Cricetulus griseus: one gene and its partner. The protein of the gene in region 1 purifies or fractionates together with the protein of each later gene. This does not show direct contact. Links are inferred from orthologs where the notes say so. Each region holds a gene or a part of one and is shown on either strand. Other genes may lie near its edges.

The links. Proteins that work in one complex are often made in the same cells at the same time.
Region 2: the proteins of Ccp110 (region 1) and Cep76 purify together in Homo sapiens (co-immunoprecipitation; 4 studies listed by BioGRID and IntAct, with this or other methods). This does not show direct contact. The link is inferred for Cricetulus griseus from reciprocal best matches to the Homo sapiens genes CCP110 and CEP76.

Annotation. Positions count from the first base shown.
Region 1 is NC_048596.1:81,893,604-81,898,553, forward strand, and holds the start of Ccp110 (centriolar coiled-coil protein of 110 kDa), read right to left. Parts: upstream 3,358-4,950; 5' UTR 3,164-3,357; intron 1-3,163.
Region 2 is NC_048595.1:171,770,663-171,774,862, forward strand, and holds part of Cep76 (centrosomal protein of 76 kDa), read left to right. Parts: intron 1-535; coding exon 536-608; intron 609-1,539; coding exon 1,540-1,764; intron 1,765-4,200. UniProt on the Homo sapiens protein: Centrosomal protein involved in regulation of centriole duplication. Required to limit centriole duplication to once per cell cycle by preventing centriole reduplication.

The sequences.
Region 1 (4,950 bases):
AATACTTAAACACTCCTAAAATTCATAAGTCCTAGAACTAGCCTTCCTGCAATTTACTGTTTGTGTATCTTAAGGCTTCATATTTTGATGCCATGGACACCAACCAACTCAGGTAGGGGTGGAAAACAGAAAATCTATTGACTCTGAAATTAATTTTATTTTATAGTTGAAAATCTGAAAGGTCACCAAGCAACTTAAAACAGTCAGCCCAGTAATTTCACAATTTCTAGAAAACTTTGAGGTTATGAAAATACCAGGTAACCAGAAAGATTAGCCAGCATAGGTCTATGTTTTAGCAAGTACTAAATACTTATTGATTGCCTGTTTCATATAACATCATGCAGTCGTGGTTCCTGTAAGGCAGGGGAAAATAACAAAAGGAACATTGTCATGATCATAACAAGCTAGGGACCCAGTACACTGTAGAAAGAGAATGCCCAGTGTAATAATACCCGTTAAACATTCATTTTAAGGCAAGTAACTACTTAACAGACAAAGACTGAGCAGGGAAATTCAGTTCATGATTTGGGCCATGCAGACATGAAGTAAGAAAGAACATGGTGCCCTGCTGGGCCTCTGAAGACTTACATTATACAACATATAAACTCATACTAAAGAGTCAGGGAAAACCAGAGTGCAGTTGGAAACAAAAACAAAGCACTTAGAGTTCTGAGAAGGTCATGGAAAACAGGAGCTTTGCAACCCGAGCAACAGAACTTCTCTTCAGTCTGTTGCTTATAATTGCAAAGTAAGATTAATTTCAAAGAAACATCTGGTTCTCTAGAGTATTGAGATTGTTTTGCATGCTTACATTCACTTTAAAAATTAGGACTAAAAAACAACAAAACACTTTATTGTTTTAACAACTCATATCACAATATCTTAGCCAAAACATAATAGCTGAGACTAAGACAAATCCCTTTCTGCTAAATTATTTTTTTTACAACACATCCTTTATTTTTCACCATTAGAAGAAATACAAATGTGATATAATTCCTGTGCATATGCACAGAAAGCAATAAACTCAAGTGAAAGTCTGGGAAAGTTAAGGACATAAGCTGCCTTTGTTAGTTTATTTTTCTTAAATCATAGAGAATTGTTACAGAAAGTTATTCACAGCCCTTGTGTGGTCTATGCATACCCTATACATTGCAAAGGTACAGAAACAGAGTAACTTACAGCATGACAATGAATTAGACATTCCAGCTCCAGTGATAATATAAAGATTGGAGAAAGCACCAAATGATCTTGGTGCATGACTGGACCTTTCTTACCCATCAGTTTCAGCTTAGATGTCCCCTCCTCCAAGAGGCCTTCTCCAATCATCCAACCTTAATTCCCCTCCCTCAGTCACTAGTATATTACCCTGGTGTTTCCCAGTTTCTACAAACCGATAGTGATCTGAAATGATCTTGTTTATTTCCTTTAGTTTTGTGTGTCTTCCTCCACCAAAATGTAAGCTCCAAAAGAATAGGTACCTTCTGAGTCCCACTCACTGAATCCCCATGACACAGAAGGGTGTCAGCACACAGTAGGCACTTAATACAATTATTGAATAAACTAATTAGGGCAAATAGATCAAACAACCCTATAAAGTAAGACCAGCAGAATAAAGAGAATTCTGAGAATGGCAGCTTTGAGAACAACTGTATTCCCAGAGAACTAGGTACTTCTAGATTGCAAAAATGGCCATTAAAAAGAGTGAGTCCAGCCAGGCAGTGGTTGCACATACCTTTAATCCCAGTGCTAGGGAGGCAGAGACAGGTGGATCTCTGGTCTACAGAACCTGAGGTACAGGACAGCCAAGGCTTTTTACACAAAGAAACCCTGTCTCGAAAAACCAAACCAAAATGAAACAAAACAAAACAAAAAAATCAAGAGTGAGTCCAGATTCCATGATTAGCAAGAGGGCACTACATATCTCACACCAGTTACCATTTGCAAGCAAGGTTTTATTTTAAGGGAGTCTTGATGACAAGGTGAACCCAACCATAAATCTCCTGCCCCATACTTTACCATCAGGCATTACTGGTCCATGGTCCACTTACATTCATACCAGCCTCTGCAGGTCCAGACATGCCTTGTCTACTCCACTTATAACTGAGTACGACCAACCTTTGTCCAATGAGCCTCTTAGCAAACCCTGTAGAGTCATAACTCCTATCTGCTCATTCATAACCAACATCCTGCCAGAAATGTCACTGAAGGGAAATGCAAAGATAACACAGCTTCTGAGCTGGCTGCTTACCACTAAGTTTCTACAAATACATAAACTTCCCATAGAGTCAGTAAAGGGGGAAAAAGCTTTTAGGCACATGCTAGCTGTACATTTGTGGCAAGCTAACATCATCCCTGCAGCCCAGCTTCCTGTCTCAAAGCGATTTTATGGGAAACCAATGAGCTAAAGCACAGGCAGCAATCAGCAGTACTGTATGTAGGACATGTAGAAAGCATCAAGACGTGGGGTCTGCTTTCTGAATGGGGGGATGGATAATGGTGATTTTTAATCACCTGAGTGTGAACTCCTGAAGAAAGGAGAAAATGTTTAGGTTTTGCTAAGATTAAAATGTGGCTTGAAAACATGAGAAGGGGACAAGGGCTTCCTCGGCTAAATCCATCTCTAGCTGGCTGTCATACGCCTGGACTGGGGGGAGGGGGGTGAGAAGGCTGGAATCCGAATGAGAAGGGTAGGAAGAAGCAAAGGGTGAGAACCACCTAGCAGCAGCAGGGGTGCTGGGGAGAACTAGCTTCACTGTCCTCGTGCTGATGCTCCACAGTGGCAAAGGTGGAGTAAACAGCACTCTTAGAGCCCTTGGTTGTGGTAACCAACGTTCAAAAATAGCCAGTGCACACCCAGAGGGACGCCTCCATCGCCCGCACCAAGGGAGAAGCCCAAACCTCTCCCGCGCCAAGCTGAAGCCCCATGTCCTATGCCTATTCCTCAATGTACTATGCTTCACTGGGCGGAGGCGGAGCCAGCATCCAAACATCCCCTCGAATCTCCAGCCTCCCCATCCTAGGTGCCTGCGTGGGCTCGTGGCCAAGGGAAGCCAAACTCGGCCCGGAACGCCCGCACTCTGCTCCGCGAGACACCAATGCCGCCTGTCCCGGTCTCAGCTCAGCCTGGACCGGTAAAGAGACGAACCGGTCCTCTCTCACTCACCTTACACCCACCGCCTGGTCAGCTTCTCTGAGGCCAGTGGACCGGCCTCCCTCAGAAGCAAAGGCCTCAGTCGGTTCAGGCAGAGCGCATCTGGGTCCGCCGCCTTCTCCTCCTCCTCCTACCCGCCATATTACGGGTCCCTCAGGCGGCAACGCGGGATCCTGGCAACCGCCGCCGCCGCCGCCACTAGCTCAACTCCACCCCTCAGGGCCGGCACTTCCGGTAGCTGTTTGGCGGGCAGTTGAAGCGGTTGAGCCTCTATGGACTACAATCCCCAAAGTGCATTGCGCGTTAGCAATTGCTGACATAGTCCTTGCGGCAAGCGAGATGCACACTGGGAAAAGTAGTCTTCACTGCAAACTAAGGGCTTTGACTTATAAACTGCTATAGGAATTCTCAGGACCTAAAGTCTCAGAAGCGTTCCTTGTTGTCGGGTACTTTTTGCTTATCTGTATAAAGAAAGCCTCATCCTGTTTGGTCGGTGGCATTCACCAAAACGTTTTCTCTATAAATGAAAAAATGTTGCTGAATCTTAGATGACAACTCAAAGGCTTAATTTAATATGTTTGTGCTCATTTATAGATCAGTGCAGGGAACTGTACAGAGGAAAAGTAACAGATTCAAGTTGTCAGAAAAAAGTCCACAAATATTTTTTTAGTTCCTACCTAAATAACTTATTGCTAACGTTTTTGACTGCAACTGGGCTTTACCTTCCTCCCAGTGCTTGCTTTTATGAATGTACAGTGAGAGTTTTGAAGAGCCTACCAAGAATGGTTGTGAGGCATAAATGAGAAAACCCTTATTATAACACGTGGTATGAAAATCTTTTACAGGAGGAAAGAGTGGGTTGGAGAGGAGGCTCAATCAGTGAAATGTTTGCCACACACAAGCATGAGAAACTGAGTTCAGAGACTCAGCAATCTCCAAAAAAAAAAAAAAAAAAAAAAAAAAAAAAGCTGTGGGCCCTGGCTGGAAATTGTACTTCTCAGCTCTTGAGATATGGAAATAGGAGCTCACTAGAGCTTGCTGGCCAACCATTCTAGCTCCAATTTCAATGAAAGACCCTGCCTCAAAGGTAGAGTAGAAACCTACTGAGAAAGATACCAAATGTCTGCCTCTGCTCTCCCGACATATGTATACACACACTTACACTCATGCCAAAAAAAGAGAGAGGGAAAGGAAAGCAGGACAAGTAAGAACTGGAGGCAGAGTGGAAATGATAAGAGGACACAAGGGAGCATCTGTCCCAATGTCAGAGAAATAAACATGGATGCAGAGAGAATGAGCTCTTGGGCAAAGGCATTGAATAGAGGCAGTTCCTCTAGCAGAAGGGATGGTGTGAAGGAAAGGACATAAGGAGCAATAATGACAGAGACAGGAGGGCACCTACAACAGAAAATGAGCCCTAAAATGGATTCTAAAGTCTAGTAATTTTCCATTAATCTTGAGGACAATGTGTTTTGTTTTGTTTGAGACAGGGTTTCTCTTTAGCTTTGGAGCCTGTCCTGGAACTCACTCTGTAGGCCAGGCTGCCTTGAACTCAAAAGATCCACCTGCCTCTGCTTCCCTGATACCGGATTAAAGGCATGCACCACCACTGCCAGGCTGACAATGAATTTTTCAAGCACAGACCTGGAACCCTTGTGACCCTCGTTTCTGCCTCCTCTATGCTGGGATTATGGGCATGAGCTACCATCCCAAGAAGAGAATAAAATCTCTTTTAAAGAAATCTCTTCTTGAGCTGTTAAAGGCTAGGCTCACAACCAAAAATATAAGAGCTTGGTTCT
Region 2 (4,200 bases), on another chromosome or scaffold:
CAACAACAACAAAAACTTTTTAAAAAAAAATTGTGGATGGCAAGAATTAAAAACAGTTGAATCCCTTCATATTAGACTTTTACGAGTTCCATCTCTCATGAAGCTATGTATTTTCATTTTAATTAGGCTAGGAAAATAAAGCCTTTTTTTTTTTAAGATTTTATTTATTTATTTTGTATATGGTCTTCTGCCTGCATGCCAGCAGAGGGCACCAGATCTCATTCAAGGTGGTTGTGAGCCACCATGTGGTTGTTGGGAATTGAACTCAGGACCTCTGGAAGAACAGTCTGTGCTCTTAACGGCTGAGCCATTTCTCAAGTCCTAGAATTTTTCTCTTTCCCCCCTCCTCCCAGGCAGGGTTTCTCTGTGGCTTTGGAGGCTGTCCTGGAACTACCTCTTGTAGACCAGGCTGGTCTCGAACTCACAGAGATCCCCCTGCCTCTGCCTACTGAGTGCTGGGATTAAAGGTGTGGGCCACCATCACCCCCAGGCTGAATTTTTATTTTCTAATTTGTATTTTTCCCTACTTTTCTAGGACAGTGTTGATCAAGAACTCCCTTCTCCAAAGCAAATTGTTGCTTTTGATAAGCAGTCAACATTAAAAAAAAGTATGTATATACATATATATTTTTAACATAAACTTGGTTGTGATTGGTAATGGACATGTCATAGTGTTTGGCATTTGATAGAAATTCTTTTCAAAATGAAGTACTTAAAATTTGTCATTAGTTAACCTAAAACTTAGATGCAGTTTTGCGTGAAATATATGATATACTATATAGTACTGTTGGGCCAAAATTGGGAGCATTGTTTTCTTTTTCTTTTATTTTCTTTTATTTATTTATTATGTATACAGTCTTCTGCCTGCATGCAGGCAGGCGGCACCAGATCTCATTCAAGGCGGTTGTGAGCCACCATGTGGTTGCTGGGAATTGAACTTAGGACCTCTGGAAGAACAGTCAGTGCTCTTAACCGCTGAGTCATCTCTCCAGCCCGGGAGCATTGTTTTCTTATGTCTTAATGATAGATACATTTTATAAAAACTGGTGGTACAACACCTTTAATCCCAGTACTTGGGAGGCAGAGTTCAAGGTCAGTCTGGTCTACATATTGTGTTCCAGAACAGCCAGGAATACACAGAGAGACCCTGTCCTAAAAACAAAGAAAGAAAACTGTATGTGCTTGCTATTTTAATATAGTAAAATAATTAGATAAATATAGTTACTAAGTTGATAATGATCTGAGTTGGCTTGTGGAGGTGATAATATGCTTTACAAACAGCTAAAAATCAAAGTTACACCTAACCTTTGCATTGATTCTCTCAAACATAGTGAGACTGTGAATTCACTAAAGAATATCATATCATAGCTCTCTCCTTGCCATAACACAGATGATTCTGCAACATAGTAAATTGGGTGATTCATCTATTTATTTATTTGTTTATTTTAGTCAAAGTATTTCTATCAAGTCGTTTCTAATGTCTTGATCACATTTAATCAGTTATTTGGCAGTTTCCTCATATGTTGCTACACTTTGCAGCTAATATTGATCCAACACGAAGGTATCTTTACCTTCAGGTTTTGGGTGGAAAAGCTTTCTTGGAACATCTGCAAGAACCTGAGCCTTTACCAGGACAAGTTTGTTCAACTTTTACTTTATGTTTACATTATCGGAATCAACGTTTTCGCTCAAAACCTGTTCCATGTGCTTGTGAACCAGATTTCCATGACGGCTTTTTGCTTGAAGTTCACAGAGAAAGTTCAGGTAAGAATATGTAATGATACCTAATTAAGTTTGTTTGGTTTTTATTGAAGAACAACCGCCACAGCTTCTGCGATAGAGATTATAAACCCGGCCTAGTGGCTCAGCTTCTAATTCCAGCACTCAGGGAACAGAGGCAGTCAGATCTCTTGAGTTCCATAGTGAGAACTTGTGGGGTCGGGGAAGAGAGAGATTGATTACAGTAAATGAGTATCTCTAGTTTTCTTCTCCAGTGCTATTTTTTATTTAAATGAGTTCTTACCCACTTCTTTTTTTTATTTTAATTTTTTTAAAGATTTATTTATTTATTTATCATGTATATAACATTCTGCTTCCATGTATATCTGCACACCAGAAGAGGGCACCAGATCTCATAAGGGATAGTTGTGAGCCACTATGTGGTTGCTGGGAATTGAACTCAGGAACTCTGGAAGAGCAGTCAGTGCTCTTAACCTCTGAACCATCTCTCCAGCCCCCCTTACCTACTTCTTGCTTTACTAATTTTCTCTTATTTTTTGCTATGTTAATTGTTTTCTTTCTTTCTTTTTTTTTTAGTCAATTGTTTATATATATCATGTATACAGTCTTTTGTACCTTCAAGTACTGGAATTACAAGTACATGCCACCACACCTGGTTTTGTAATGTAACAGTCCAAGTTTGAATCTGGTTGTGGTGGTTCATGCTTATAATTCTATCACTTGGGAGATTTAAGCAGGAGGGATGAGCTAACGCCGGAGGATTTCAAGTTGGAGGCCAGCCTGGGCTACATAGGGAGGCCATGTCTCAACAACACAAAACACAAAATACACACACACACACACACACACACACACACACACACACACACACACACACACCTCAAAGTTTATATAATGTGGGGGGCGGTGGAGATGGCTCAGCGGTTAAGAGCACCGGCTGCTCTTCCAGAAGACCAGCATCAATCCCCAGCATCCACATGATAGCTCACAACTGTCTGTAACTCCAATTCCAGGGGATCTGACACCTTCATACAGATATACATGCAGGCAAAAACACCAGTGCACGTGAAATAAACGTAAGGAAAAAAGAAAAAGTTTATATAATGTATCAGTGTATTCGATATATTTTACTTACCAACCTAAAGCCATAAAACAAGCAGAATCGAAGAAGTCTGCCTAAATAATTTAGTGCCTTTAAAAGATGTCTTAAAGTTTTTAATTTTTTTCCTTTATTGAGCTAGGGTCTCAAATAGCACAGACTGTCCTTGAACTCAGCGTATAGCTGAGGGTGGCCTTAAGCTTCTGACTCTTCTGCCTCTTCTGCGTACACCCACTAGTGCTTGAGTTTTAGGTGTGTGCCAACATACATGGTTTATGTGATGCTGAGGTCACACCCAAGGCCTTGTCCATAATACACAAGCACTCTACAAACTGAGCTGCACCCTAGTCCTTTGTAATTTTATTTTTCTCCCTATAAAAATGTTTTTTGTTTGGGTTTTTGTTTTTGGGGATTTTTTTTTTTTTCAGGACAGTTTTTCTCTGTTCTAGAACTCACCCTGTAGACCTTTAACTTTTTTTGTATGGAGGCCTTCGTGGTGGGAGGCCAGTATGGTGGTACATGTCATTAATCCCAGCCTTTGGAAGGCAGAGGCAGGTAGATCCCTGAGTTCCAAGGACAGCCAGGACTACACAGAGAAACTCTGTATTGAAAAACCAAAAATACTTTGGTAATTTCTGGAGTTGAAGAATGAATGTAATTTGAGGATTAATATTTACATAGTGTTTTTTTTAAATATTATGTGTATGGGCATTGTTCCTGCATGTATGTATGTGTGTTTGTGCACAGTGTGCAGTGTCCACAGATGCTTGGAGAGGGTATGAGATCCCCTGGAACTGGAGTTACAGAGGGTTGTGAGCTGCCATGATGGTGCTGGGAATTGAATGCATATCCTCTACAAGAACAAGTGCTCTTAGCAACTGAGCCATCTGTCTAGCACCCTGGATTTTTAGGTTTCTCTTTTTGGTGTGTATGTGGAGTTTTGAGGTGGGTCTCACTATGTAGCTCTGACTAGCCTTGCACTCACAGACCCTCCCTCCTCTACTTCCAGAGTGCTTGGATTTAAGGTGTGTGCTAACTCATTTAGCTGATGGCCTTTTCTTTTGTAATAGTACATAATATAAGTTCTTTTGAAGATTAGACTTTTTATGGATCAGAAAGTACTGACTACTGTAAGTAACATAACTAAGTAACTTCTAAATAATTCATCTTATTCTGCTAGTCCTGGCAGTTGTCAGTCATAGAATGGGGTGATATTCTTCCCCCAGATTCTGGCATACTTTGAGAGACCTTACTAAATTATTTCCATCATATGTAAGCTTATTTAGAATACTTTTCAATAAAAGTGTGTGTGTGTGTGTGTGTGTGTGTGTGTGTGTGTGTGTGTGTGTGTGTATACACCC